Linked DNA regions of Elephas maximus indicus. The protein of the gene in region 1 purifies or fractionates together with the protein of each later gene. This does not show direct contact. Links are inferred from orthologs where the notes say so. Each region holds a gene or a part of one and is shown in the gene's direction. Other genes may lie near its edges. The genes, in order: histone H2A.Z, ACTR6, MORF4L1 and SMARCB1.

What was found.
Region 2: the proteins of histone H2A.Z (region 1) and ACTR6 purify together in Homo sapiens (affinity purification with mass spectrometry; 4 studies listed by BioGRID and IntAct, with this or other methods). This does not show direct contact. The link is inferred for Elephas maximus indicus from reciprocal best matches to the Homo sapiens genes H2AZ1 and ACTR6.
Region 3: the proteins of histone H2A.Z (region 1) and MORF4L1 purify together in Homo sapiens (affinity purification with mass spectrometry; 4 studies listed by BioGRID and IntAct, with this or other methods). This does not show direct contact. The link is inferred for Elephas maximus indicus from reciprocal best matches to the Homo sapiens genes H2AZ1 and MORF4L1.
Region 4: the proteins of histone H2A.Z (region 1) and SMARCB1 purify together in Homo sapiens (affinity purification with mass spectrometry; 3 studies listed by BioGRID and IntAct, with this or other methods). This does not show direct contact. The link is inferred for Elephas maximus indicus from reciprocal best matches to the Homo sapiens genes H2AZ1 and SMARCB1.

The regions. Positions count from the first base shown.
Region 1 is NC_064823.1:53,184,901-53,191,674, forward strand, and holds histone H2A.Z, read left to right. Parts: upstream 1-4,042; 5' UTR 4,043-4,176; coding exon 4,177-4,179; intron 4,180-4,588; coding exon 4,589-4,666; intron 4,667-4,954; coding exon 4,955-5,068; intron 5,069-5,411; coding exon 5,412-5,541; intron 5,542-5,808; coding exon 5,809-5,870; 3' UTR 5,871-6,254; downstream 6,255-6,774. UniProt on the Homo sapiens protein: Variant histone H2A which replaces conventional H2A in a subset of nucleosomes. Nucleosomes wrap and compact DNA into chromatin, limiting DNA accessibility to the cellular machineries which require DNA as a template.
Region 2 is NC_064822.1:166,283,614-166,291,630, forward strand, and holds the start of ACTR6 (actin-related protein 6), read left to right. Parts: upstream 1-5,000; 5' UTR 5,001-5,060; coding exon 5,061-5,128; intron 5,129-7,029; coding exon 7,030-7,147; intron 7,148-7,640; coding exon 7,641-7,709; intron 7,710-8,017. UniProt on the Homo sapiens protein: Required for formation and/or maintenance of proper nucleolar structure and function. Plays a dual role in the regulation of ribosomal DNA (rDNA) transcription.
Region 3 is NC_064831.1:68,715,181-68,722,963, forward strand, and holds the start of MORF4L1 (mortality factor 4-like protein 1), read left to right. Parts: upstream 1-4,764; 5' UTR 4,765-4,824; coding exon 4,825-4,864; intron 4,865-7,783. UniProt on the Homo sapiens protein: Component of the NuA4 histone acetyltransferase (HAT) complex which is involved in transcriptional activation of select genes principally by acetylation of nucleosomal histones H4 and H2A.
Region 4 is NC_064840.1:22,469,662-22,476,741, forward strand, and holds the start of SMARCB1 (SWI/SNF-related matrix-associated actin-dependent regulator of chromatin subfamily B member 1), read left to right. Parts: upstream 1-4,063; 5' UTR 4,064-4,250; coding exon 4,251-4,343; intron 4,344-7,080.

The DNA.
Region 1 (6,774 bases):
AAATTTTTGTTAAAGCCATCCACTTGTGGTATTTCTGTTATAGCAGCACTAGATGACTAAGACACCTGGCATGTAATACAATTGAGTGTGCTCTATTTTACCTAAGAGGTTGACAGGACCAACTTGGAATGTATCATGTGTATTCCATTATTTGGCAGGGGTTATGTATGATGTGTGGTATTGCGTTCCATCTCAGTTGCGTATATACAGATAAAAGAAGACAATACAATAATAAAAATGTGTTAGGAGTCCCTGGGTGGTACAAACAGTTAAGTGCTCAACTCCCAGCCTGAAGGTTGGTGGTCAAACCCACCCAAAATTACCTTGGGAGACAGGCCTGGCAATCTGCTTCCAAAGGTCACAGCCTTGAAATCCCTAGGAAGCAGTTCTACTCAGTACACGTGTGGTTACTGTGAGTTGGAATCGACTGGACAGCCACTAACGACAACAACAAATGTCTACAGCAATCTTCTTGCCATTGTGTTAGAAACTTGTGGTGGTGGAGGCTTCATGCTGCCTGTGGATTTACAATTCAGCTGAGGAGATCAGTTACAAAATATAGGAAATATAAATATATATGAAATTTTATTTGGGAAAACGATTATTAACACATAAAGATACTTGATTCTTAACATTAAAACAACCATCAAATTTCCTTCAAAATTTCTGAGATATGTTGGTTATTGAAAAAATTAATTTTAAAATAATAACTTTAAGTAATTTAAAATATTAAATTTAAATATAAAACTATTAAAACTAAATAATTATTAAAAATTAATATTTTTAAAATAACAAGATTACTTTAAAATTAATAATTGGAAACCAGGTATTGACAACTGAGTTTTTTAAGGCATGTTCTTTCCTGAATGCCCTATGTAGAGAGAACCAAGATTCTGACGCTAAGTTCCTGTTATCTACTGAGACTACTAGCCTTTGAAATAACAGAAAAATAGGTGTTTAAAACAAGATGTATTTGAAAAATTTGAGATTCTCAAGTGTGGGACTATCAAATTTTCTACATAAAAAGTCAAGAGAAACAACAGTTAAAGTACATGCTAGTGTTTGAGAGGAAATAATAATTGGTCTTAGAGTTAGGAAACGGCTATTAAGGAAAGAGTCAATAATACCAGGAATATCTACTTCATTTCAGTTTATTTTTAATGACTAGAGGGCATTTATTAAGTAGCTAAGTTGACATGACATTAAATAAAAAAAATTGCATGTGACATTAAATAAAAAGAATGGCCATACATAAACAGTAGCGTGAAGACAAGAACAAGAAAGAAAAGCCAAGAATATTAATGTATCTGCAACTTGCCTTTTCCAGGATGGAGCTCTGGTGGCGCAGTGGTTTAGAGCTTGGCTGCTAACCAGAAGGACAGCAGTTCGAATCTACTATCTGCTCCTTGGAAACCCTATGGGGCAGTTCTACCCTGTCCTGTAGGGTCGCTATGGGGTCACTACTCCATGGCAACGGGGTTTTTTTTTTTTTTTTTACCCCAGGACAGGAGAGTAGAAAATCATCACGTAAGTGCTCTGAAAAGTTGAGAAACTGTAACTGTCCTGTTCACCTTAACAAAAACCCATTGCCGTGGAGTTAATTCCGACTCATAACACTTTGGGCAGGTTTCAAGCTTGATGGTTCTGTACCCAAGGAAGACAGTATACTAGACAGGAAAAAAGATTTAGGAATTAAAAATTCTTTAAATATTGATTTCACTTCTCCCCGGCATCCAATGTAGAAGATATTTATTGAGTACTGCTTCTTCCAGTTGTTGTGTGCCAAACACATGCTATAGTTTATATACCTTCTTCCTTAATCTTTCAACCAAAACCAAATCAAACCCTTTGCCAACAACTTGATTCTGATCACAGTGACCCTACAGGGCAGAGGAGAACTGCCCCATAGGGCTTCCAAGGAGCGGATGGTGGATTCCAACTGGCTACCAAGCTTTTAATCACTGCACCACCAGGGCTGCAATCTTCCAACTGCTACTACTACTACTACCCACTGCCGTCGAGTCGATTCCGACTCATAGTGACCCTATAGAACGGAGTAGAACTGCCCCATAAGAGTTTCCAAGGAGCACCCGGCAGATTCAAACTGCCAACCTCTTGGTTAGCAGCCATAGCACTTAACCACTATGCCACCAGGGTTTCCAATCTTCCAACAACCACCTGAAAACAGGTGTTACTATACTCTTCACGGAAGAGGAAGTCAAGGCTGCAAAAGATTAGCAATAGGATCAAACAGTGAGGTAGAGACAGAGCAGAATTCAGGTTACCTGCTCCTCAGCTCATTCTCGTTTAACCACTATTCGGTGAGGCAACAGTAAATTCCTTTACCTGGTCTTGTAACAGAGATCACATGTTTGTATTCTCTAACCTGGAGAGGGTACTAATGCTGGTTTGTGGGTTATATTTCACAAATCCTCAGTGGAGCTTAGATTATCTGTTATGCCAGGTTTCTTAGCTTTTAATTGCCCTTATATCAATTCATTGGGGGGTGATTAACTCTTGCTTATTGGTTACATCATAAGAACACGTCAGTTCCAAACAGGAGAAATAATAAAACGGCCCTCCGGAAACCCTGGTGGCGTAGTGGTTAAGTGCTACGGCTGCTAAGCAAAAGGTTGGCAGTTTGAATCGCCAGGCGCTCTTTGGAAGCTCTATAGGGCAGTTCTACTCTGTCACTATGAGTCAGAATGAACTCCACCGCAGTGGTTTTTTTTTTTTTTTTTTTGGTGTCAAAATTGTCGGGAACCGCTTCTCCAGAATTCTTCTTTCAAATTGAAACCGAATCGAAAGTACTTTAGCTTATATATCTCAAATCTTTATTTACATCAGAACTATTCAATTATGTTAAAAAGTGCAATATGCTATTAAACAGTGTAAGTATTGAAGATTTATATCATTACTATCCCAAGCAGCTGGAGATGTACACAGGTGTTATTAATCTATTAGTTGGAAGGCTAAGTAGCTGGCATTATGATAGGACTGTGGGTACAGTACTATATTTTAAGCCTACCATTTGCAATTGATTACATGGACCATCTGTAACTGCCTGTGAATCATGTTCGAGTTACCCTACTGGCATTTACTGAACATTTGTCATGTAGCAAAAATTTTAGTGTAGAAAACTTGACACATAATAATTCCGAGGTTTCAGTAAATCAACTTCAGGCACCAGGCTATTGGTATAACCCACTGATGTGTAGTTTCGAGAACAATACTTCTTGGTTAGAGAATACTGCCTCACCTCAAGCCCCCTGCAAGGTGGACAAGTCTTCTGTGACCAGTAAAGTGACTTTGCTCCACTGTTTGTTCCTCGTCGAACTATCCTGTTTCAAAAGTGGTGAGGAAAGAGGGTGTGGACGACATCGCCGAAAACGTAGTGGGAGCAGCGGGTCGTGATCAGTCGGTGGCTGAAGACTCTTCTAGGACACAGACCGGGCAGCTCTATCAAGTCTTGGGGTCGCGGGTGAGCGGGGCTGACTTCGCGGCTCCCCTCTCTCGAAGCGTTCGCGCTACCTGTCAGACAGGAGGAGACTCCCGGGATGCGGAGGGGTGGGAGAGGAGGGCGCCCAGGGCCCCCGGAGGAAAGCGGGAGAGCCCAGCAGGTCTCTGCGGGTAGGGCACGGTGGGAGGGGGCAGGAGGGAGCGCTAGACCCCGACACGTGGTCTTTCGAGATCCTCAGGGAAACTAGGAGAAGGGGCGCTACTGTGTGCTCCTCCCCAGAGCCTCTCAGCTCCTCCTCCCAGACACGTGACCGCAACCGGCTGGTCTCCTCGCTCTCGCAGGGTAGCTCGCTGTGTTTCTTCCCTCCTGCTGCCGTGCCCTTCTTCTACCCGTTCCTGTCCCTCCGCCCTCCCCCACCTCCCTCCCTAAACTCCAATCGCGGCTCGAAGTGCGAAGCGCCCGCCCCTCCACTATTTCCTTCGCCTGCTCATTGGCTGAGGCCTCAAGGACGCGTCCCGAGGGCGGGTGGCAGCCATTGGTGCGATGAGCAATCGGAGTTCCCGGATGAGGGAACATTCTGCAGTATAAAGGGAGCGGGGAAGGCGGGAGACAGCGCAGTTTGAATCGCGGTGCGACGGAGTAGCTGCCGGGATCTCGCTGGGTGTTTGACTAGCCCTTTCTCTGCCTTGCTTGTTTGAGCTTCAGCAGATTTCGAAATGGTAAACTTAGCAGAGGCGCTCGACGACTTCGTGGGTTTTTGCCGGCGGGAGAAAAACCCGTTACACACGGGGATGGGGGGGGTGAAGTGGCGGCGGTTGAGAACGCGCGGAGACAGGATTTGGAAGAGCGGGGGGAGGTGTTTTGTCGTCGGCGAGCGTAGCCACCTCCGGTCTCGTGGCGGGCGGCGACGGTTGGGTCGCGCGCGCAACGCCCCTGGGGGCGGGCGGGCTGGTGAAGGCGCGCGGCCGCGGCGGCGGGCGGGGTCGCCCCTGCGGCGCGCGGCGGTCCGGAGACCCCAGCGGGGCCGCGCTCGCGCCCGGGCCGCGCCGCGTTGGGGGAGGGGCGCGCCGCCCTGGTAATCCTATATTCTCCGTTCCTCCTCCGCTCGCGGGCGTGTGCGCGCTGCAGGCTGGCGGTAAGGCTGGGAAGGACTCCGGAAAGGCCAAGACAAAGGCGGTTTCCCGCTCGCAGAGAGCCGGCTTGCAGGTCAGTAGTTGTTTGTGCAGCCTTGGAGTCGTGGCGTTTTTCTTTGCCGTCCTTTCTTGTTTATTATCGCTCTTGACTGGCGTTTGGTCTTTTCGTGGGCGACGAGGTGTCGCGACTTGGGTTGTCGATAACGATAAATGTCGGGAAGGGGAGGAGATCACGTGTGTTGATACTGGAGCGTGTTGCTGCACCAGCGTCGCCCATGCTCCTTGCTTTGGCGCGCGTATGATTTTCCTATCTTTGACTTATATGTTTGTGCATTTATGTTTATGTGTGCTTAAAATTAAGTTTCCGGTGGGCCGTATTCATCGACACCTGAAATCTAGGACGACCAGCCATGGACGTGTGGGCGCGACTGCCGCTGTGTACAGCGCAGCCATCCTGGAGTACCTCACCGCAGAGGTAAATGGGTGTACGCCTATAATCTGGAAAAGGCTGGAGCGGGGGGAGGGAGGTGAGAGGGAAGGAGGAAAGTGATGCAAGAAAACTCCCAGGCCCTAAACGCGGCGAGAAGCCTCGAAGAACGCTAGAGGGAGCTGGTGTTCAACAAGGCATCCTATTGAGTTTGAGTTTGCTGCTGCTGTAAATAATTGCGTGTCCCCTTTATAGCTTTTGCATATCTGGCCACTAAGTTGGGGGGGGGGGCAGCGACAATGGGTAGATTTACCCTCATGAAGCCTTGTTTGTGCTCTGGATCTTGGCCTGAGGAAAGTTGGAAGGAGATTAAATAGATTCTGTTGTCTAGGTACTTGAACTGGCAGGAAATGCATCAAAAGACTTAAAGGTGAAGCGTATTACCCCTCGTCACTTGCAACTTGCTATTCGAGGAGATGAAGAATTGGACTCTCTTATCAAGGCTACAATTGCTGGTGGTGGTATGTAACTAGAGAAAAGAATTATTTGCATCTTTAATTTCTGTTACTTTTATAGTCTAAAAGAATACATATATTTTCACTGATGCAGCATGGTTGCAGATTTGTGACGTTTGATTTACGTAAATTAACTCAATGAATTTTTATTTTGCATATTTAAGCTTAATATTTTTTAAAAAACCTTTCAAGTTGAACAATAAGTTACTTGGGTTATATACTATGTGACTTTAAATTTTATATATGTCAAGTTAATCCCTGTCACTCTTCTAGGCGTCATTCCCCACATCCACAAATCTCTGATTGGGAAGAAAGGACAACAGAAGACTGTCTAAAGGATGCCTGGATTCCTTATTATCTCAGGACTCTAAATACTCTAACAGCTGTCCAGTGTTGGTGATTCCAGTGGACTGTATCTCTGTGACAAACACAATTTTGCCTTTTTGTAATTCTATTTGAGCAAGTTGGAAGTTTAATTAGCTTTCCAACCAACCAAATTTCTGCATTCGAGTCTTAACCATATTTAAGTGTTACTGTGGCTTCAAAGAAGCTATTGATTCTGAAGTAGTGGGTTTTGATTGAGTTGACTGTTTTTAAAAAACTGTTTGGATTTTAATTGTGATGCAGAAGTTATAGTAACAAACATTTGGTTTTGTACAGACATTATTTCCACTCTGGTGGATAAGCTCAATAAAGGTCATATCCCAAACTTAGCTGTGTTTTAAATTTGCTTAACTGTAATAGGAATTTATCTGTTTGAATCCAGCAGTGACTAAACAGGGTTCTTACCTGGGAATTAAACTGTTACTTCTATTGATCAGTGAAGTTAGATGGCCCTAATATGATTTTTGCCCCTGATACTATATAATGAGCTCTTAAAGATTTTAAAGCTTTGGCACGAGTTGCGGTGGGAGAAACTTCCTTTAGGCCAAGGTGTGGCTATACCAGTTTGTACATTTGCTGTGCTTGCTCTGTGTGATGGTATCATACCAGTGTACTATAATACTGGGAGGGAGAGGGCAGGTAGGGTATATATATAACCTGCCTCTGTTAGGTGCCCATTGAGTTGGTTCTGACTCACAGTGACTCTTTGTACAACAGAACAAAACATTGCCCAGCCCTGTGCTGGGCAATCGTTGCTATGTTTGAGCCCATGTTGCAGGCACTGTGTCATTCCATCTCATTGAGGGTCTTCGACTTTTTCAGTGATCCTGTTTTACCAAGCATGATGTCCTTCTC
Region 2 (8,017 bases), on another chromosome or scaffold:
AAAAGTATTGAGCCTCTCTGAGCCCTGTGGTGCTATTTACTTTATGAGGTTGTTGTCAGGATTAACTAAATTAATGAAGATAAAGTACTTAGCAGGGTGCCTTACACAGTAGAATCTTGTCATTTGTTGTCATCCAGTCAATTCTAACTCCTGGAGGCCCTATGTGTGCAGAATAAAACTGCTCCATAGAGTTTTCTAGGCTGTGACCTTTCGGAAACAGATCTCCAGAACCGTCTTCTGAGGCGCCTATGGGCAGGTTTGAGCCACCAACCTTTCAGCTAGTAATTGAGCACTTAACTGTTTGTGCCATCCAGGGACTCCATTATAAATTCAGTAGGCAAAAAAGGATGTTTCAGGCAGATGGAACACCATTATGAAAAAGCATAGAAGTGAAAAAGTTTATGACTTCTATAAGTGGCAAGTGGCCTAATGATGTGGTTAGAACAACATGTGGGCCCCTTTTCAATGTAACAAATACCAGTGAAATCCACAAGTAATTCATTGTAGTTATAGTATATTTTTGTTGACAAAATCCATGATAATAGTTTCACTTCTATTCTCCCTGGATTGTTATTCTTAGGTGCCATCAAGTTGGCTCTAAATATCACAAAACCACCATAAATTCAATAGTGCTTTTAAATTAAGTTATTTTTATTGCTATTTAATTAGAATTATAATAAAATACAATTTTCAAAAAGTTAAAAAAGTGTCTGTCATACAAATATATAATGAACAGGCATTAAAGATTTATTTAGCTCATATTACTGTGGGAACCAGCAAGATGAGAACCTACAAAGTGGAAAGCTGTTTCACTCATCAACACGAGTTAAATAAATCTGTGACACATGTTCATTACATATTTACATAAGAGTCATGTTATTAACTCTTAAAATTATGCCTTGACAGAATATACAAGCATTTGAAGAATAATACTTAAATGCTCAAAATTATTTGTGCTAAAACCTGGTGTGAAGGTGAAGAGAGGCACTTTTTACCAAACATTTTGTGTTCCATCCAGCTCACACAAGCTCTTGAGAGACAACTGTGTGCCTCTCTTACCAACTCCATGTTCGGTGACCTTGCAGTACCTTGAAATCAGCCAATGGTGACCGTATTTACTAACTTACAGAAATTAGCGAACATCATAAGTCAGGAGACTTTTTCCTGTGGAGATTTGGTTGTTAAACATTTACCAGCACACTGCTGTAAAGTGAGTGGAAGGGGATAAGATTGTAAATGTAAATATACGGACATTATTTTGTAGGCAATGGCAAGTCACAGAAGATTTTTATGGTGGGTGAGTTGAGGAGGAGGATCAGATTTTTTATTTAGAAAAATATTTACTGATAATTATGCTGGCAGTACAGAGGATGGATCAGAATAAGTAGAGAATGGAGGTGCAAAGAATGTTGGGAAGGCACCGCCATTATTTCAGGTGAGAGATAAGGAAATATTAGTAAGAATATAAGAAGATCAAGGACAGATTCCAGAGATTAAGTCAAGAATAGGAGTTGAAGGAAACTGAGGTTTCTAGCTTAGGGCATAGGAGGTACTCACTTGTCTATGCCAAGAAATTTTGAAGATAGCTACCTGGCCAACTGACTGGAAGAGATCCATATTTATGCCTATTTCAAAGAAAGGTGATCCAACTGAATGAGGGAATTATTGAATAATATATGCAAGTAAAATATTGTTGAAGATCATTCAAAAGTGGCTGCAGCAGTACATCGACAGGGAACTACCAGAAATTCAAGCCAGATTCAGAAGAGGACCTGGAACAAGGGGTATCATTGCTGATATCAGACGGGTTCTGGCTGAAAGCAGAGAACACCAGAAAGATGTTGACCTGTGTTATTGACTATGCAAAGGCATTTAACTGCATGGATCATAACAAATTATGGATAACACTGTGAAGAATGGGAATTCCAGAATGCTTAATTGTGCTCATGATTTACCTGTATGTACACCAAGAGGCAGTCGTTGGAACAGATTAAGGGGTACTGTATAGAGTTGCTATGACTGGGAATCAACTTGATGGCACTGGGTTTGGCTTTTTGGTTTGGTATAGTTTAAAGCTAGGACAGTTGTAGGTCAGGGCCGTATACTTTCATCATACTTATTCAATCTGTACGCTCAGCAAATAATCCGAGAAACTGGAGTATATGAAGAAGAACGGAGCATCAAGACTGGAGAAAGACTCATGAGTAACCTACATTATGCAGATGACACAACCTTCCTTGCTGAAAGTGAAGAGGACTTGAAACACTGTTGAAGATAAAGTACTACAGTCTTCAATATGGATTACACTTTCACATAAGAAAAACAAAAATCCTCACAACTGGACCAATAAGCAACATCATGATAAATGAAGAAAAGACTGAAGTTGTCACGGACCTCATTTACTTGAACCCACAATCAATGACCATGGAAGCAGCAGTCAAGAAACCAAATGACATATTGCATTAGGCAAATCTGCTGCAAAAGATCTCTTTTAAGTATTAAAAAGCAAAATGTCAGTTTAAGAACTAAGGTTCACCTGACCCGAGCCATGGTGTTTTCAATTGCCTCATACGCATGTGAAAGCTGAACAATGAATAAGGAAGACTGAAGAAGAACTGATGGCTTTGAATTACGGTGTTGGTGAAGAATATTGAATACACCATGGACTGCCAAAAGAACGAACAAAGCTGCCTTGGAGAAGTACAGCCAGAATGCTCCTTAGTGGCAAGGATGGCGAGCCTTCGTCTCACATATTTTGGACTTGTTATCAGGAAGGACCAGTCCCTGGAGAAATACATCATGCTTGGTAAAGTAGAACGTCAGTGAAAGAGAGGAATATCCTCAACAAAATGGACTGAAACAGTGGCTGCAACAATAGGCTCAAGCATAACAGTGATTATGAGGATGGGGCAGGGCTGGGCAGTGTTTCGTTCTGTCGTACCTAGGGTTGCTATGAGTAAGAACCGACTTGATAGCACCAAACAACAACAGCTTAGAGTACTAGGTGGATGAGACACCACCAATTGATATAAGGGGAATAAGCAGTTTTGGAGATAAGATTTGTTGCATTTAAACTTTCTTCAAGATATACTGGTGGAGACATTCAGGTTACAGTTGGTAGTGGAAATTCTGGTTTAGGATTTATTAGTATTTAATGATAGCTGAAGCCAGAGCCAAGAATGATCTTTATGAAGGAGTATGTAAGCAGGCGAGGAAAAGAAAATGAGAAGCCTAACTGAGAAACAGCTAATTAGGAGAGACACAGGATTGAAAGAGCACATTTTGAAAGGTGAGAGAGAAATGAAATGGTAGCTGCTCTATAAGGTAAGTTTGATAAAATAGTCTTTACGTGTTTGGAGTAAGTCATCTTACCACTTTAACATTAGATTAAATAGAGTAAATTTGGACACAGTTAACTTTGGACATTCAACGAACTTTTGAATAGGAAGGGATATACCAAACCAAATCCATTGCTTCCAGTGGATTCTGACTCAGTGACCCTATAGAACTGATTAGAACAATCCCACCGGGTTTCCAAGGCTGTAATCTTTACGGAAGCAGACTACCACATCTGTCTCCCATGGAGCAACTCATGGGTTTGAACTGCCAACCTTCTGGTTGCAGATGAGGGCTTTAACCACTGTACCACCAGGGCTCCTACAAAGGGATACGTATACACACCAATAAAATATTATGCCTGATCCCAAGGAGTTTGCCATCTAAGCAAGTTAACAGAGGATGATCATATGGTAAGGGACGATGATGATGATATAACTGCCAGGTACTTGAATTTGTCATTTACTCTTCATAAAACAATTGTGTAAGGGAATATTATTAATATTATTCCATTTTACTGATGAGGAAACTAAGGCATAGAGAGGTTAACTAACGTGCTAGGATTTGACCCAAGAATTTGACTTCAGAGGCTGCACTCTTAACCACGACCTCTTTGATTTCAATGATAGTACCTGCCTCATGGGGAGAAAGAACTGGATATCTGCTACTGCAAAGATTACATCCTAGAAAACCCTATGGGGCAGTTCTATTCTGCCCTATAGGGTCGCTATGAGTTGGAATCAACTCCGAGGCACCTAACAACAACCTACCTCATAGAGATGTTGAAAATATAAAGCCTTTAGAAGCTTAAAAAAAAATTTTTTTAGAAGAGCGCACCTGCAAGCAGTAAATGTTGTCTAAGTATTAACCATTATCATCATCATCACCCAAGGTTACACAGCCATTTTGTGGCAGAGTCTGGATGTGAAGCCCAAACTGATCCTCTTAACCGTTATGATATACAGGGGTTAGCCCGGACTATTACAGCAGCACGTAGGAAAACCAAAAAACCCACTGTCGTGGAGTCATTCCCACTCATACCGATCCCATAGGACGGGAGCCTAATTCCAGGAAGGGGAACGAGGAGGGAGAGTGTCAAATGTCTAGAAGCCTTCTTAGATGAGAAAGACGCGTGAACTCTGTCCTGAAGAGCAAGTAGGCATAGTCCAGGAAAGAGGTGAGTGGAAGTGCAAGTGTGAGGAAGAAAGCAAGACGGGTTTACAGAACAGCACATGTATGATTCACAGTGGGTGGATCTTTCAGTTGCACAGGGAGTGGAAGGGGATGAGAATGGAGAGATCTCATACACAGTTTCACAGTGCGTATGGTTTTGCACTCTATTCCTCAAGAATGTTACTGTCTGAACAATACTATTTGAAGACAAAAAAAAAAAAAAGCTGTCTACAAGGGTTACAAGAAACTTGCATGAGTAAGTCGATCTGCGAAGTAAAGGACAAATACGCAATGGGCGAAAGGCACTTAGCCGTTTCCAATCTTGTCAGATCTCCCCACCACTCTAAACAAGTTAGGCTTAGAAGCATAGTATGACACTCGCGGACACAGTCCTCCGCGTCCAGTCTCTGGCTTCCGGCGTCCTCCGTTGTTAAGGAGACCGGAAACACGTCCTAACGTCCCGCCCAAGCAAACCACAGAGAGCCGGAAGAAGAGTGAACAGAAGGGTCGGGAAGGGAAAGCCGTAGCAGTGGGTGTGTGCTTGTGCTAAAATGACAACCTTGGTGCTGGATAACGGAGCCTACAACGCCAAAATCGGTTACAGTCGTGAAAATGTCTCGTAAGTGTTTACGTAGTTTCACACGCCAGGCTTTATCTTAGGACATCGGTGAACTGCAGGCGCCCCTGCGCGGCCCTAACCTGAGCCAAAGGGATACTGGGCTTGGAGGTGTGGGGGTAGGGATGCTTTGAACTGGAATTGATTTTGCTTTTAACTTTGGGCTGTGCTGCCCCGGAAGAAGGATGTGTGTTTCCGTTCGTAACAGGAAATAGCCTACCTAACAGTCTTCTAGAGAAGCTTTTATTGACAGCAAACGAAAAAAACCAAAGCCGTTGCCGTTGAGTCGATTCCGACTCAGCGACCATATAGGACAGAGTAGGACTGCTTCATAGAGCTTCCAAGGAGGGCTGGTGGATTTGAACGGCTGACCTTTTGGTTAGCAGCCAAGGCCTTAACCACTGCGCCACCAAGACTCCTTTCTTGACAGAGTGATCTGTAAACAAAGTTCATGAATCCTCGGGAATTGTGGGCCGCATATTGGATGTGTAGGCATTCTCCTGGAGACGCGATTATAGCTTTCACCAGATCGTCAAACGGATCCGTGGCCCAGAAAAGTCTAAAACCATTTTCTTAATGTCTAGAGACCTTGAAGATTCTGTATTTAGTCCCTCTGGACACTTGGAAAAACACCCTCTCCTTTGCTTCTTTTATTTATTTATTTTTTGTATTTCAAACGAAGTTTTACAGAGCAAACTAGCTTCTCATTAAAAAATACACATATCGTTTGGGACTTTGGTTGCCAACCCCACGACATGTCAACACTCTCTCTTCTCGGCCTTGTGTTCCCCGTTACCAGCTTCCATGTCCCTTCCTGCCTCCTTGTCTTTGCCTGCTCCTGGGCTGGTGTGCCCATTTGGACTCGTTTTGTGTTATGGGACTGTCTAATCTTTGGCTGAAGAGTGAACCTCAGAAGTGACTTCATTCCTGAGCTAAAAGGATGTTCGGGGTCTTTTCTTTTTTAAGGAGGCAGTCCAACTGTTTAGGAATGTAGATTGGTACAGTCTCTCTGGAAAATATTTTGGCGATGTGTATCATTGTTTGTATCCTATGATGTGGCAATTCTGTTTCTTGTCAGTTACGTAAGGAGTTAATTACAGGTGCTTGATGAAAATAACTAGAAGGATGTTATATATTCTTTATAGATGTTGCGTATGGTAGCAAATTAATAAAAAAGGGGAGGGGGAGGGAAGCAAGCTAAGTAATCAAGAATAACAAGTTGGTTAAATTATACAGCCCTAAGATTGAATACAATGCAACTTCTTAAAATATTCTGCTCAAAGAATTCTTAAACATACAGAGAAAATGCTGACAGTGTAGTAGGTGAAATAAGTAGGTACAAAACATTTTTACAGTATTATCCCAGTGTTCTCATCTATGTGTATGTGTGTGATTGATAATGGCTGTAGTTTATCTTCCTTAACCAGACTGTAAGCTCATGGTGAGCAGAAGTCATTTAAAACTACTTACTTCTGTACCTTGTGGCATCTTGCATACTGAAAAACGTTGGTTTCATGGAAATAATTTTATGGCCAGAATTTTGAACTTGCGATTCTTTTACCCGAGTGGTTGAAAGGATTTCCACATGAAAGCCGGAAAGACCAGCACCTTTACCTGGATCCTGGTTCCCAGCTATGCAGTGGTGGAATCAGTAACCAACAACCAACCATTCAAGGCGATTCCAATACCCGCCTGTAAAGATTTCTTGAGGATTACTTTGCGAAAGACCAAGGGTCTGGCACAGAGCCTGATACATACTAGAACCTTAAAAAAAAGGGGGGGATTTTTTTTTATTTGAAGACAGAATGAGAAACACAGATTTCCAGTGTATTAATTTTGGCATCAGTAAATGTATTTTGGGGAATAAGTGTTTTGGGAATAATTCTGTTGTTTTTTGTTTATAGGGTTATTCCTAATTGTCAGTTTAGGTCAAAAACAGCACGTCTCAAAACCTTTACTGCTAACCAGATAGATGAAATTAAAGACCCTTCTGGACTCTTTTACATCCTTCCTTTTCAGAAGGTAATCCAGTTATGTGTCATTTCTAGCACTGTAGATCTCAATTTATGAGACTTAGTAAGTATGTATGGGAACATTTTTAGATCTCTAAGAAAAGGTGATTTAAATTTTAACTAAGATCTTGTTAAAACCAAAAAGTGAAATTAAATTATCTTGATAAAAACAAATGACCATCATTTAGTTACTGATTCAGGTACTGAATCTTGTTTATTTTAAAAGCCAAATGAGCTGACTGCGTTAATGTAAAAAAATAAGTGTAAAGAGGCATCTGTACATATTGGTCTGTCTTTTGAACCCTTGAAAGTTTGGTATTAATAATTTGTATAATGTTTTTGACCTTTAAAAGGAGAAAAGCATGCCAATATGATTGTTTGTAATTCATACAGCATTAGACTGGAGAAAATAAGCATAAAGAGAAATCAATGATTTGCAATATATTAATCTTTGATTTTTAAAAATTGTTCAGATACTCTTGATGATTTGTAACTTTTTTTAGGGCTACTTGGTAAACTGGGATGTTCAGAGACAAGTTTGGGATTATCTTTTTGGAAAAGAAATGTATCAGGTAACAGACCGGAGTATGTATTCAAACTCTATTTCCATGTCTTATTCAAATGAGAAGTGAGAACTTACGTTTTAAGATTTATAGACTTACAGATTTGTTTCTAGTATATATTTAAATCACTGTAATTTAGTGTAGCTGGCTTTGATTTTCTAAATGTAAGTGAATAGAATTTCTGTTCTAAAGAGGTTGAACAGAGAAAGTCTGTATGCAACTCAGGGTTAAAATCGTACTTCAGATTTCTAATAATTTTATTAGACCAACTCACTATCTCACTTTTATTTTCATGATAAAATATTCTTGACTACGTG
Region 3 (7,783 bases), on another chromosome or scaffold:
GTAACCCTGGTCTTCCCCATATAAAACCCTCCCATCGATGCTTTAGGGTAGACAGAATTTGGGAGAAATTTAACCCCCTCTGTCTCTTAAATACCAGTATTCAATAAAGCTCTCTTGCTGCTTACCTCCTCCTGTCTCAGTATTGGCTTTGCCACAGGCGGCTGGAACCCACAATTTGCGGTAACAATATCCCAAGACTTCATGCTCAATTAATTTATAAAGGAAACATTTTAAGGACGTGTGCAAATTTCTTGTGGTCCGGTTTATTCAACAAATAAATGGCAAGAAAAAGAGACAGAGAATCAAATGAAATGTGTGGACCTTGTTTGGAACCTGATTTGAACAGCCAGTCTTAAAAATCATGTATGCGGCAATTGGGGGGATCTGAATACTGACTGGATATTTGAAGATATTAAGAAATTGTTTATTTTTATATGTAATAATGGTATTGCCTTAAAAATGTTCTTATTTTTTAGAGATACATACTAAATTATTAATGGATGAAATAGACATGATCTCTGGGATTTGTGTGTATTTATATTTTGGGAGGAAGAATGGGGGAGTACCAATGAGATAAGACTGGCCATGTGTTGATAATTGTAGAAGCTGAGTGAAGGATACACCAGGGTTCATTTATACTATCCCTTCTACTTTTGTTTATGTTGAAAAACTTCCATGAAATGAAATACCATTTGATAATGCAAAAACAAAGTGTCTTAAACGACTTAAACCAGTCATCAAACTTAGCATCACTAATAATTGGACAACTAGATATTATGTGCCTTCTTATGTTGACAGCATAATGTATCATCTATAGTGGAGCCCTGGTGGTACAGTGGTTAAGTGTTCAGCTCCTCTCCCAAAGGTTAGCAGTTCCAATCCACCAGCCGCTCTTTGGAAACCCGATGGGGCAGTTCTACTCTGTCCTGTAAGGTCACTGTGAGCTGGAATTGACTTGAAGGCAATAGATTTGGTTTTACACAATATTCAGTCAACAAAACATTCAACTTGAATCTAATCAAGCCTTTAGATCTAACTTTCGGTTTATAGGAAATACAATGGAGAGAGGTTATGTAACATCATGAGTAAATGATCAGACAAATCCAGAATGTCAGCTAGTCAAAACGCCAATGTCACGAACAGTTATTAATGCTACTACTAATAAAGTGAGGGGGAGCACTTTTTGTGCCAAGGACCCTGCTTAGGAGTCTGATGAAGCCAATGAACTCTTATTCAGAATAGTGTTTTTTAAATACACACAATAAAAACAGGATTTATAAAGAAAATTATATTGAAATATGATTATCAAAAATATTTTAAAATGTGATATGGTGGTATGGTAATATATATGCTTAATTATTAATGCATTAAATAACAAGAACTAGCGGGAAGTCTAGTAGCTACTTACTAGTTTTTAGTTATTTCAAATTAGTGATAAACGTAAAATACATTTGAGATATCTGCAATAACCGTAACATACTATGAAAACATCTATAATTTCTATTGGTGACAAAGCCACAGGTCCTGCTAATACTGCTGTAGTTTGGTACCTTTATTTAGAATGAAAAATTAGATTTTGGTGAAAATAAAGAGGTGAATTTTTTCCCATCTAAGTTCATGGACCTTCTGTATTATATCCATGGACTCCCAGGTTAAGAACCTCTGGTCTAGGTTTTAAAAGATTAAAGAGGTCTGTAATGTACTATCATTTAATGGTTCTTGTTTTGGAAAAAACAAGCAAACAAATATAAAAATATTTTGTGGACAATTAAGGAAATCTGAATACGGAGTGAGTTACATGATTTCAGAGAATTATTGTTAATTTTATTTGGTGTGGTAACAGTATTGTGGTAATTAGGAGAACGAATGCCTTTATATTTTGGAAACGCATACTGAAGAAGTCAGGCATGAAGGGGCATGATGTCTTCACATACACACACACAGCGCACACACATATAGGAAGATGTTTACAATTCCTTTATGTTGAATCGAGATGGTAGATACTGTATTATTCCTTTTACTCTTCTGTGTGTTTGGAATTTTCATAATAAAAAGTAAAAAAAAAAGTGACTTTACGATCTTTTTATTGAGATATAATGTAGATATGGTCAAGTGTATTCACTGTAAGCGTATAGGTTGATGAATTTTTACAGAGGTAAACACCCGTGTAAGCATACTAGCTCAAGATCTAGAACATTTCCAGCACCCCAGAGTTCCCTAGTACCCCTTTCCCAATCAACCTCCCCTTCCACCCCAGTTAATCACTGTCCTAATTTCTATCAGCACTGATAAAGAATATACTCTTTTGTGTCTGGTTTCATTTGCACAACATGACTTCTTGATATATTAAAACAAATTTTTAGAGATTGATAATACCACATTTGGCAAGGATATGGGAAAACAGGCTCTGTCTTAAATTGCTGGTTGAAATGTAAATTGGTGAAGCGTTTCATAAGGCTGTTTAAAATACTCACATCCTTTGACCTAGTAATTTTACATCTAACCCTTTGCCCTTAAGTCGATTCCGGCTAGGGGTCCTAAAACAATAAAAGCAATGTACATGAAGATACAGACTCAAAGGCATAAGTTTCTAATAGTCAAAAATTGGAAGCAACATAAATGTCCAGTAACGGAAATGAGGTTAGATAAATTATTGTATATTTACACTATGTGTCATGGATTGAATTGTGTACCCCCCAAAAATATGTGTAAACTTGGTTTAGGCCATAATTCCCAGTATCGTGTGGTTGTCTTCCATTTTGTGATTGTAATTTTATGTTAAGGGGATTAGGGTGGGATTGTAACACCACCCTTACTCAGGTCATCTCCGTGGTCCAGTGTAAAGGCAGTTTCCCTGAAGTGTGGCCTGCACCTTTTACCTCTCAAGAGATGAAAGGAAAGGGAAGCAAGCAGAGAGCTGGGGACTTCATACCACCAAGAGAGCAGCACCGGGAGCAGAGCGCATACTTTGGACATGGGGTCCCTGCGCCTGAGAAGCTCCTTGACCAGGAGAAGATAGATGACAAGGACTTTCCTCCAGAGCCGACTGAGAGAGAAAGCCTTCCCCTGGAGCCAATGCCCTGAATATGGACTTGTAACCTACTAGAGTGTGAGAAAATTAATTTCTTTGTTAAAGCCATCCACTTGTGGTATTTCTGTTATGGCAGCACTAGATGACTAGCACACTGGACTGGAACCCTTGGTGGTGTAGAGGTCAAGAGCTGCTGCTGCTGACCAAAAGGTCTGCAATTCGAATCCACCAGGCGCTCCTGGGAAATCCTACGGGGCAGTTCTACTCTGTCCTATAGGGTTGTACAGGGTGGCTATGAATCGGAATCGACTGGACCGCAACGCGTTTGGTTTTGGGGTTGGTTTATACTATATGTCATGAGGTATTAAAGGTGTGAGATACAGCTATATATATAATTGGAATGACCTCAGGCCATACTATTAATTTAAAAAAGAAGACGACCCAGAACAATATGTGTAGTCCACTTATGGTAAAAGAAAAAAAAAAAAAATTGGGGCTGAGAAAGATGTATACACCAAATAGTGGGGAAGCAAACTGGGGAAAGTAAAAGGGGCTCCTTAAATTTTGTGCTGTATTCTGTATTTCTGAATTCTTACATCGTGTACAAAAGCCATGAAAACAAGGATTTGTATAAGGCCTCTAGATAAGCTGGGAACTGTGTGTGGAAGGAAATTAATCTCCAGACTAAGGATTTTGGGATATATCCTCGAGTTAATGTTTAATGAGCGCTTATTCACTGTTTTTTTTGGGTGTGTGTGTGTTTTGTGTTATTCACTGTTAGGCACGCCGCTAAGCCTTTACGTGCAATTCTCATAATAAATCGGTTGAAAAGATGCTATTATCATTCCCATCTTGTAGCTGAGCAAACTAGGTACTGGGGAACGACATGGGGAAATCCGTTTGTTTAGACTCTGTGTATTTTGAATAAGACTTGCTCAAAGCAATTAGGTGACAACAAATGGCACAGATGATAGGGCAGGTGCAGAACCCCGAATTTGGCGGTGTTTGGTATTACTCACTTTAGAGTTTTTTGGCGGGCACAAATCCATTGATCTCAAAAAGCCAAAGGTCGATCCCCTAGTCTGCCTAGTGTTTCCCACTTCATCTTCTTCCTCATTGCCACAGGAACAGGGCTGGAGAAGAGGGGGCCTGGCTATCAGCTCCACCGAATATACCATCAGTGATCTTCCAGACGCATACCCTATTTCCCACCCCCTTCCCGCCAGAGCCCGTAAAGCTTTCCTACTACTCTGGAAAAGCTACTGAAAGTGAGTTTCAGGGGCAAGGCTACTGCAACGCCCACATCATTGCAGCCTCATTTTGCCCATGGGATTTAGCCTTTCCCATTCTTTTACTGTTGGTGGTCCCCAGCAACAACACACAAAATCAAATCCAGGCTTTAAGAACTCCGGATGGGCCAGGGGATGGAGAATGAGAGGCGGGAGGTAAGGAACGGGTGGTGGGGAATAAGAAGCGGGGGATGGGGAAGGGAAGAAAGAGACACCCGCCCCTCCCCCCACTCCGTCGCGACTCAACTGACTTGGAACTACCAATCCCGGCGTGCCCCGGGACGGCGCCGGCGCAGGAGCGCGTGCGCGGCGGGCAGCCGTTGGCTGAAGCTGCGGCTGCGCTGGTCGCGGTGCTGTGAGGTCTGCGGGCGCTGGCAAATCGGGCCCAGGATGTAGAGTTGGCGGTGCCTGACGGCGCGTCTGAGGCGGAGTTGGGTGGGGTAGAGAGTAGGGGGCGGTAGTCGGGGGTGGTGGGAGAAGGAGGAGGCGGCGAATCACTTATAAATGGCGCCGAAGCAAGACCCGAAGCCTAAATTCCAGGAGGGTGAGTCCGTTTTTTTGGGGAGAGTGCATCTAACGGCTCGGGAGAGGGAGGCGGGCTTGGGATGGTTGAGGTTTGGGGGTCGGGGGCGGTACGGGCTGCCCCCCGAGAAGGCGTCAGGCAGTGCTTTGTGCAGGCAGAGCGCATTGCGGAGGACAATTTTCGTGCGTCATTGGGGAAAAAACGCTCTGTGAGACGAGTGGGAGAGGGAACGCTTTGCGCGTGGCAGAACCTTAGTCAAATGTTTGTTATTGTTCTGAGGAAGAGCGCGGGGAAAGCAGCCTATTGTAGGGAGGCGACGGATGCGCCATGGCGGCCGTTAGGGGAAGTGATGTGGCGTGGGGGGAGGGGAGTTAACGGCGGTCGTTTTCGGGCGCTTTCGCGGGGATGCCGGCTGCGTGGGCGGCCAACGGCAGGCAGGCCGGGCTGCTTCGAGCCCCGAGGTGGTCGCCTTCTGTGGCGACTCAGAGGTGCGGCAGGGGGGTGGGTTTGGTGCCTCGGGGCGGGAGAGCCGCGTTGTAAAATGGCCGCTGCAAAATGGCCGCCCCATCATGGCCGCCGGCGTCTCGGCCGGGCCCGCAGAAGCTGCTTAAGGGCAGCTGCAGCGCCCCCATCCACGACAACCATAAGCGTTCCCTACCGCTTACCTCAGCGAGGTGGGTGGGGACAAAAAAAAAAAAAAAAAATAGCTTTTTCCTCTGCTTTGTGTTGCCTGAAGGCATCACTTTGCTTTCCTAAGACTGGAGTGCCAAGATTGTATATGAGTGTGAGTGTGCGCTGTTGCTGTGCAGTTGCTCGTTAACACAAAATGACTTTAATGCGGTGTTACTGATGTTTCCATTTATAATAAGTCTCGTTGCCTTGGTGTCGTTTTTAAAGCAGCAGGTATTTGACTAATTGCAATAACTTTTGATTAACAGTGATTGGGAAGTTGGATTTTTTTTTTTTTTTTTATCAATTGGCTTTTGATGGACAAGTGTTTTGGCTGGCGTTAGAACCTGATCTCCAGTGGTAGACAGCTCTTTAATTTTCACAAACAACACATCTACCCCAAACCAAGTATATAGTATTTTTAAGGACTGTTTAAGTTTCCAAGGGTACTTTTGATGAATATTGCTACCTTTTCCCATCTTGAGAAGCTAGCTCTACCGTACCTCTTACGGATTTATTATCTTACTAGGTGCTTTAGAGCAAAAATGCTTAATCTAGGTTCAGTTTATGGAATTCAGAGGGTCCGTGAACGCGGACGGGGGAAAAAATCTTTTTTTTTTTTCTACCTTCTAACTAAAACACTTAGTATTTCAATTATGAATGTAGACCCCCTGAAAACAAAATACCGATAGTAGTATTAGCAGTAATATGACTTTGTTACCAATAAAAATCTCAGATATTTTCATATCCTAACATTACAGTTCTGGAAGATATCTTTAGACATCATGTATGCTCCCCATTACTTCAAAATTATGGTAATTACTGGATCAACAGCTAAATTTTGTTTATTGCATTAAGGAGCACATATAATACCACAGAACATAATATTTAAAATATTTGGTAACTATTTCAGTATAGTTGGTTTCCTTTGTAATACTTTGTTCTATGCGTTTAAAAACTTCCTAAGCCTGTGAGGGGCCTGTTGTAGGATATGGAAAGAGGAAAACGATTGAGGTCTGGCAGTCAACGATGGCTTTCTGGAGGAAATGCTTTAGTTCTAAGCTTGAGAGATGGTGGAGTGAAGTGGATAACAGCAAATAATGTGTGTATTGCTATAGTGGTGGATTGGAGGAGAGTAGGAACCAAGGTTAGGACAGGTAAGGTTTTGAAAGTTAGGCCGGTTGTCTCTGCACTTACCGTCCATTACTTTTCCAGGTGTGTTTTCTACTGAAGTCAATACTGAATCATAGAATCATCTTTAAGAAGTTATACTTATTTATGAAACATGTTTAGAGGGTTTTGAAAAGAATATTAATGCTAACAATTACCTTGAAACAGTGGAAAAGTTCAGTTTATGAAGTAAAAAATAGGGATATGAATTATGAAAGTGTGGAAATAGCCTTTTTAATTGCTTTTCATGATTCTTGAAGGTTTCTCGTTTAATAAAGATACAGAGTATGTTATGTAAGCAATTTCTGAGCACAGTGACTACTTTGCACTGGACTTGGTCTTCCACTTGAATGTCTATTAAAGCACAGGGTAAAGGAAACTTAGGGGTCCAGCCCATTGTCAGGGGTTAAGAGACTGGCAGATGATGGCATGAGAGCAGTGTTCTTAGGAAGCACAAACCAGTAGGAGGATGGGGAATTGGAAGCTCATCAAGCTTGAACTCGAGCATTGGGTAGAATTTCCCTTGTAATTTGATGCTTGAAAGGATGAGGAAAAAGATGGAGCAGAGGAAGGCATAAGAAATCACATCCGAATGGTGTTTTGCTCTTTACTCAATTACTAATCTGTTGCCATGAAAAACAGCCATTTGTCATCATGTGTCATACTCCCTAGCAGCTCTGTATTTTGTTCTCAGCAGAAATACAGGACTAGGTAGGAGGTCATAAGACCTTAGCCTTAGTGTGATTATTTTTGGCAGCAGCAGCAGCCAAAACAACAAAAAACCCTGTGATAGACCCATTTTCAGAACACCTTTAGAGTGCATCTGAAGAGAGAAATTAGGAAGCAGATCTGATCTCTGGTGCTGCTGCTTATTAGCACTATAGCTAATCTGTATCCCCACGTTAAATTGCCCACAGTACTCAGTGATGATTCCAGCCCAGCTCTCCTTGGCTTCGCACATGTGCACCTGTTCATGAGATATTTCCATTTTGGAGGTGCTGTAGGCACTGTTACATAGTCCAAAGTTGATCCGAACCCTGCAGCACCCATTTCATGTTCTGGTTAATGCTCCCACTAGCCTGAGAGTCTGTCTGAATCTTT
Region 4 (7,080 bases), on another chromosome or scaffold:
CCCTGGGATCCAGGCCAAAAGGACCAGAGTGAGCTGGGGAGGGGGAGGTGCTTCCTGCTGGACACCCCTGGCCCTGGAGGCCCCAACATACCTCATTCCTGTCCCAGATGGATGCTCCTACAGCCCTCGTCCAGTGCCATTTCCCTGGGACCCCCAAAGCCCTGTAAATGTGTTGTGTACAGTGTGTACAGAGCCTTTTTTACTGAAGGACTGTCATTAAACACACTCGTTTTCTACCTGCCTGTCTGGTGTCTCTCTGTGGCAGCATGGCTAGGCAGGGAAAGAGTTGGCCTTGGTGCAGGAGGCCTTGCTCCCTCACTGTGAGGCAAGGCTGCAGCCTGCCTGCCCCAAGCCTCTGGTCCCAGGTACTGGGTTTAGTGTTCAGGGCGCCTCCTGTTTATCCTCCATCATGCCTCGCCTGTCAAGTGGACTCCCACCCAAGGTGACACCATGTGTGTCAGAATAGAACTGTTCCATCGGGTTTTAAATGGCTGCTTTTTTGGAGGTAGGTTACCAGGCCTTTCTCTGAGACACTTCTGGGTGGACCTGAACCTCCAAACTTTCACGTTTACTGTTTGCACCACTTGGGGACTCCTGACACCTGTAGTGGCTTTCTAATTGGCTCCCTGCTTCCAAGCTTGCCCCCTCTGTCCTCCACGAAATAGCCATTTTATGAGATCATGCCCCACCTTGCCCCTATTTTAAAATGCTTTGCTTTCCCACTGCTGTCAGGACACAGAACAAGGCTCAGGGGGACCACGGCCCACCCTCCTGACTCTCCAGCATCTCCAGCCCACGCTGCCCAGCCCCACATGTGTCTTCTTCATAGCACTTACCACAGCAGCAAGGCCACTAGGATGGAACCAGATGCTGCTATCAGGCCATTTCAGCCTAGTAGATCGTTCCGAGGGATACAGCCAATACTCTGATGCCACTCAGCAGGGCTGTCTGGTTTCACTCACCTATACCCGCTGGGCTTATTGTAGTCACACACCAGAGTGGAGGCAGGAACAGAGGTGTCCCTCCTATGTACGAAATTTTAAAATTAGGGTGCCTGATACTTCTGAGGGGGGCTGGCTCAGGTTTAAGCCCAACTCCATCTTGTATCTTTTCAGACTCTCGCTTGTCCTGCTTTTTTCCTTAGCAACAGTTAAACTTTGTGTAGGCTACTGAAATACCAAATGTTTTTCTCAAACTATAATTAACCTTTAGAAGCAACTTGTCTAGTTTCACATAATTGTATTTAGGTAATCAGGCTTATTAAAATACTTGAAATTTGTCCTCTCAGGAAACGAGATTAATGAACATGTTTCCAAGACTCCAGGAGTCTTCTAGTCATGGCTCTCTGATCTTGCAACTGTCTTAGCCACATTTTGATTTTTCTGTTTTTTATAAAGTTTGAGTACATACTGCCTTCTTATAAGCCAGAGCTAGGCTACCAGTGTCAAAAGTACACGTGAAACTAGGGGGAGGGAGCTAACAAACCCCATTGGGTAAAATGTTCTCCAAAGAACTTTCCCTTAAGCAAGTTAATCTTTACCACCTGTTCTCAAAACAAAACCCACATCTAGCCTTTGAACAAATCAGAAAAGTTTCCCCATTTCCAGATATCCCACCCTCAACTGTTTTACCTCACTAAGCATCAATCGGAAACCCTGGTGGTGTAGTGGTTAAGTGCTACAGTTGCTAACCAACCAATTCGGCAGTTCGAATCCACCAGGCGCTCCTTGGAAACTATGGGGCAGTTCTACTCTGTCCTATAGGGTCACTATGAGTCGGAATCGACTCAACCGCAATGGGTTTTTTTAAGCACCAATCAGAGTATTATGTTGCTAGTTCCTGGTTTAACAATATAAATATTGCATGGATGCCTGTAACTCTTCGAGGCTTTAGATTTCACTCTGTGAAATCTAATGTTTCCCCAGTTTAAAATGTATCCCCCCCCGCGCCGTATCTGTCAGTTTGTCATACTGTGGGGGCTCACGTGTTGCTGTGATGCTGGTAGCTCTGCCACTGGTATTCAAATACCAGCAGGGTCATCCATGGTGGACAGGTTTCAGCTGAGCTTCCAAACTAAGACAAACTAGGAAGTTCGGCGATCTACTTCTGAAAAAAATTAGCCAGTAAAAACCTTATGTATAGCAGTGGAATATTGTCTGATATAGGGTCAGAAGATGAGCCCACAGGTTAGAAGGCACTCAAAATACGACTGCGGAAGAGCTGCCTCCTCAAAGTAGAGTCAGCCTTAATGACAAGGATAGAGTCAAGCTTCTAGGGCCTTCACTCAGTGATGTGACATGACTCAGTGAGAAGAAACAGCTGTAAACACCCATTAATAATTGGAATGTGGAATGTATGAAGTATGAATCTACAAAAATTGGAAGTCATCAAAAATGAAATGGAACACATAAACATTGATATCCGAGGCATTAGTGAGCTGAAATGGACTGGTACTGGCCATTTTGAATTGGTCTACTGTGCCAAGAATGACGAATTGAAGAGGAATGGAGTTGCATTCATCATCAAAAGAACATTTCAAGATCCTGGAGTACAACGCTGTTTAAAGTCAGGAAAGGTGTGCGTCAGGGTTGTATCCTTTCACCATACTTATTCAATCTGTATGCTGAGCAAATAATCCAAGAAGCTGGAGTATATGAAGAAGAACGTGGCATCAGGACTGGAGGAAGGCTCATTAACAACCTTCGACACGCAGGTAACACAACCCTGCTGAAAGTGAAGAGGACATGAAGCACTGATGATCAAAGACCACAGCCTTCAGTATGGATTGCACCTCAACCTAAAGAAAACAATCATCCTCACAACTGTACCAACAAGCAACGTCATGATAAAGAGAAGAAAGACTAAAGTTTTAAAGGATTTCATTTTACTTGGATCCACAATCAACACCCATGGAAGCAGCAGTCAAGAAATGTAAGGATGCATTCCATTGGGCAAATCTGCTGCAAAAGACCTCTTTAAAGTGTTAAAAAGTAAAGATGTCACTTTAAGGACTAAGGTGAGCCTGACCCAAGCCATGGTGTTTTCAATTGCCTCATATGCATGTGAAAGCTGGACAGTGAATAAGGAAGGCCGGAAGCATCAATGCCTTTGAATTATGGTGTTGGCGAAGAATATTGCATATACCACGGACTGCCAAAAAGAACAAGCAAATCTATCCTGGAAGAAGTACAGTCAGAATGCTCCTTAGAAGCAAGGATGGCAAGTCTTAGTCTCACATACTTGGACATGTTATCAGGAGGGATCTGTCCCTGCAGAAGAACATCATGCTTGTTAAAGTGGAGGGTCATCGAAAAAGAAGAAGGTTCTCAACAAGACAGACTGACCCAGCGGCTGCAACAACGCACTTAAGCATAACGATGATGTATGGTGCACGACCAGGCAGTGTTTTGTTCTTTTGTACATCGGGTTGCTATGAGTCAGCACTGACTCCACCACACCGAGCAACAACAAAACTGTACCTTGCCTTTAATAAACCTCTTTACTTTTACATTAACAGTATGTACAGTTTTTACTCTTTGACACTCCCCTCCCACACTCATCTGATACACCAGCCAAACCAAATGCAGCTACATTCAGGCCCCTAGGCCTTTGCTCATGCCAATCCCCACTTCACTGTTGTCATTTTACCCACCCCCACAGCCGCAGAACCAGTTGGGTGTGGACCTGGCACATTTGTTTTCATGAACCCTCTTAGTTGCTCGGCAGCACTGTACTTCAGGGTGGGGAAACTGAGGCTGGCCTAGATTCAAAAAGTACTGCCAGGTTTCCAGATATAGTCCTTTCCTCCTCCTGGCCTTCAGGTCCCCCTTCATTCCTCCTCCACTGGGCAGAGTTCCAGTCCTTCCTGTGAGACTTGGAAGCCACCGCCTGAGTCAGGCCCTCAGCTGCTATTTTCTGTCGGCTAGAAGCTTTTCAATGCACCAGGACTTTGGGAGGCAACCAGAAGAAAAACGGGTCACGGTTCCTTTAAGGAGCCGGAGGGGAGCGCGCCCCGATCTTTTGTCTGGGCGGTGGCGCGCGCGTCTGCGTCAACGCCCGCGCATGCGCATGGAGAGCGGCCTAGGCGGCGACGGAGGCTGACAAGTCCACAGCGACGCGAGCACCAAATCTGGCCCAGCCTTCGCCTCCCGGCCTCGGTTCTCCGCGGCGCGGCGCGGCTAGTCCCGGCCCCGCCTCAGCCCTCCCGACCTTTCGCAGCCCGGCCCCGGCCGCCCGCTTCCGCCGCCGCAATGATGATGATGGCGCTGAGCAAGACCTTCGGGCAGAAGCCCGTCAAGTTCCAGCTGGAGGACGACGGCGAGTTCTACATGATCGGCTCCGAGGTACCCGCGGCGCGTCCTCGCCCCACCCCGCCCCGCAGGAGGCCCGGGGCGGGTCTGCGCGCGGGGGGCGGCCGTCTCCATTCATCGCGACGGGCGCGCGCGCGTGGCCGGGGCGAGGCCTTTCGGGGGTGTGGTCTGCCCAGGCTCCGCCCCGGGCTCTCGGCGTTCTGGGTTGGCGTTCGGTTTCCGCGTGGTCCGGGGCTCACCCCGCGTCATGGCTTAGGTCCTGCGAGGTGCCAGGGGACCGCCTAAGCTGGTCCAGCGCCAGCAAAGACGCAAATAAAAGGGGTGTTGTGGGTTGTTTTTTGTGGCTAGTCCCTGCGGTGCATGAAGGGGTCACAATGTTGCCCTTAAGTCTTTTGAGATGTTGACAATCTCATGTGCACCCCGCCCCCATTGTTCCGTCTAAGATCCTGAAATCGCGGGTTGGAAACCTGGGGCTTAGTGAGGGCTCCTGCCGGTTTGTGTTCGTTGCCGCGGAGGTGGGCCAAACCTACTGCCGTCAGTCGATTCCGACTCATAGCGACTCTGTAGGAGGGACATCTCTCAGCACTTCCGAAGCAATTGACGTTTTGGAGATTTGTGAACGGACTGACCTGAATTATTAAGGGGAGAAGGTTCTGTTCTTTAATCCTCAATTCGAAGCGACAGTACTGTGAGCCAGCTGGCGAACTGGCTTTAGGAAAATCCTACAACCGCCCCATCTAACGGGGGTTTGTACTACGTTAAGTTTTGCCAAATTGCCTCGTATTAGTCTTTTCTCACCTAAAGTCAGTACCCAACTAATATATATTTCTTTTTTTAATTGATGGGTGTAAATAAAGTTTACACGTGCACATGTCACACCGTTGAGTTTCTTATGTGACAAGGTAAGTGCCAATCTTGGAGTGCGAACACAACCACAAAATGCCAAGGGTCTCTTCTCTGTTGTAGCAGGTTTCAGTGTCATACTCCAACATCTCATTCATGCTTTTTTTAAAGTGTCTTTCCTTTTCTTCACCACTGAGCATAGCATGAAAGAATCAAACCTGTGATTGTCACGCTGAGGCTGTCAGGACCCCTCATGACTCCCACCTTGTCTTAGTCTGTGAGGCCGGTGTTGTCGCTTACCTCAGAACTTTAATGTTTCACCAGTTTTTATAAAACAGGAGAGCGGGATGCAATAAATTCTTCATGTTATCACATAAGTGCTGCTGTTCAAAGAAGGCTTAGCTGCGGACATGTTGCCAATTTCTGTCCATCTTCCCCTGCTCAGAAGGGGCCTCACCAGCTGGTCGGCACCCACCTACATTCAGGGCTCAAAAAGGAGTTTCCGAATGTGCCGTGGTGCAAGCTGTTTAAGGATAAATCTTTACCTGACCTAATGGTAAATTAGAGGGTTAGCTTTTCGCTTACCCTCTACGAGATGGAGTGGCACAGTAGCTGCAACGATGGGCTCAAGCATAACGATTATGAGGATGGCGCAGGACCAGGCAGTGTTTCGTTCTGTTGTACATAGGGTTGCTATGAGTCAGAACTGACTTGACAGCACCTAATAACAACAATGCCCTTGACTTGGAGTGGGTGGTCCTCTTGAGAAGAAAGCTTCCCATGATTCGGTGGCGTAAAGTAATTGGGAAGAAGCAGCAGCCAGGTGGGAAGACCATTGGAGGCCTAGTTCCAGCCTCCTCCGCCTACATCATTTTTGTCACCTATATAGTGAGCATGGTCTCGAAGACCTTCCATGTGACACACTTTAGGTTTCTCGAAAGCTAACAGCAGCCTTTTCTTTCAGCCTGTTTGCTCCTGGCCCAGCTTGTTGAGTGAGAGTGATTTCATGAGGGTCCCTTTGTGCCTGGTCCAGTCTGTAGAGCCCCAAGTGGGAGAGGCCTACACCTGTTCTTTTGGGCCAGGCTTAACAAGCATCAGCCATTTGGCATTCAAGGGAGGATTCAAGAGCAGAATGCTATCTGTGGATACTCAGTAGCTCTGGTGACTGTTGGATAGATGGCCCTTGGACCCCTTGCCCTTGGAAACAGACTCTGTGTTCAGAGAGGCAGGCCAGCCATGGTCACATCCCACCCCACCCCCAACGCCCTGTGCGGTACCCCGTGGAGCTGCCTTGGGTGGCATCTGCAGTTGCTGTGAGTGCGTGTCCTTATTCTCCCGCCATCTACAGGCAGCTATAGTCACCAGGCCAGGTCACAAAGCTGAGAGGACCCTGAGAAATCACTAAGCCTAGTACCTTCATTTGACATTTGGGACACCTGGGTTCATAGAGGGCCAGGGCTGATTCAGGGAAAACCCAGGAGGACAGTCGCCTGAAGGGGTCTTGGGAGGGGCTGAGGAGTCCCAGAGTCCCGAGGGACCTCCAGGGTAGTAATGGGGGACACTGTGGTCAGTTTCTTTTCAAAAACCTCATGGGAATTCTGTGCTTACCCTTGGGTGGCACCAGCACACACAGGCCAGGAGGTTCAGTGGTTGGCATCTGTGCTTTCTATCTGAAGCAGGAGGGGCTCATGCTACACAGAGACTCTGGTTGATGCTTATACACATCTTTACTCGTGAAATGTGGAGAAACTCGTTTTCACTTAATAAATATACTATGCTGGGTGGGTAAAGTGGGAAAAGTCATAGCAGTGATCTTTTGTGGGACTGAGTTCAACGGTGCTGAAAATTTGACCGAGGAGTCGAGGGACCCAGAAAGGGAAAGCAATCAGGGTCTCCAAGGAAGCCAGCACCTGGCCCACAGGCCACT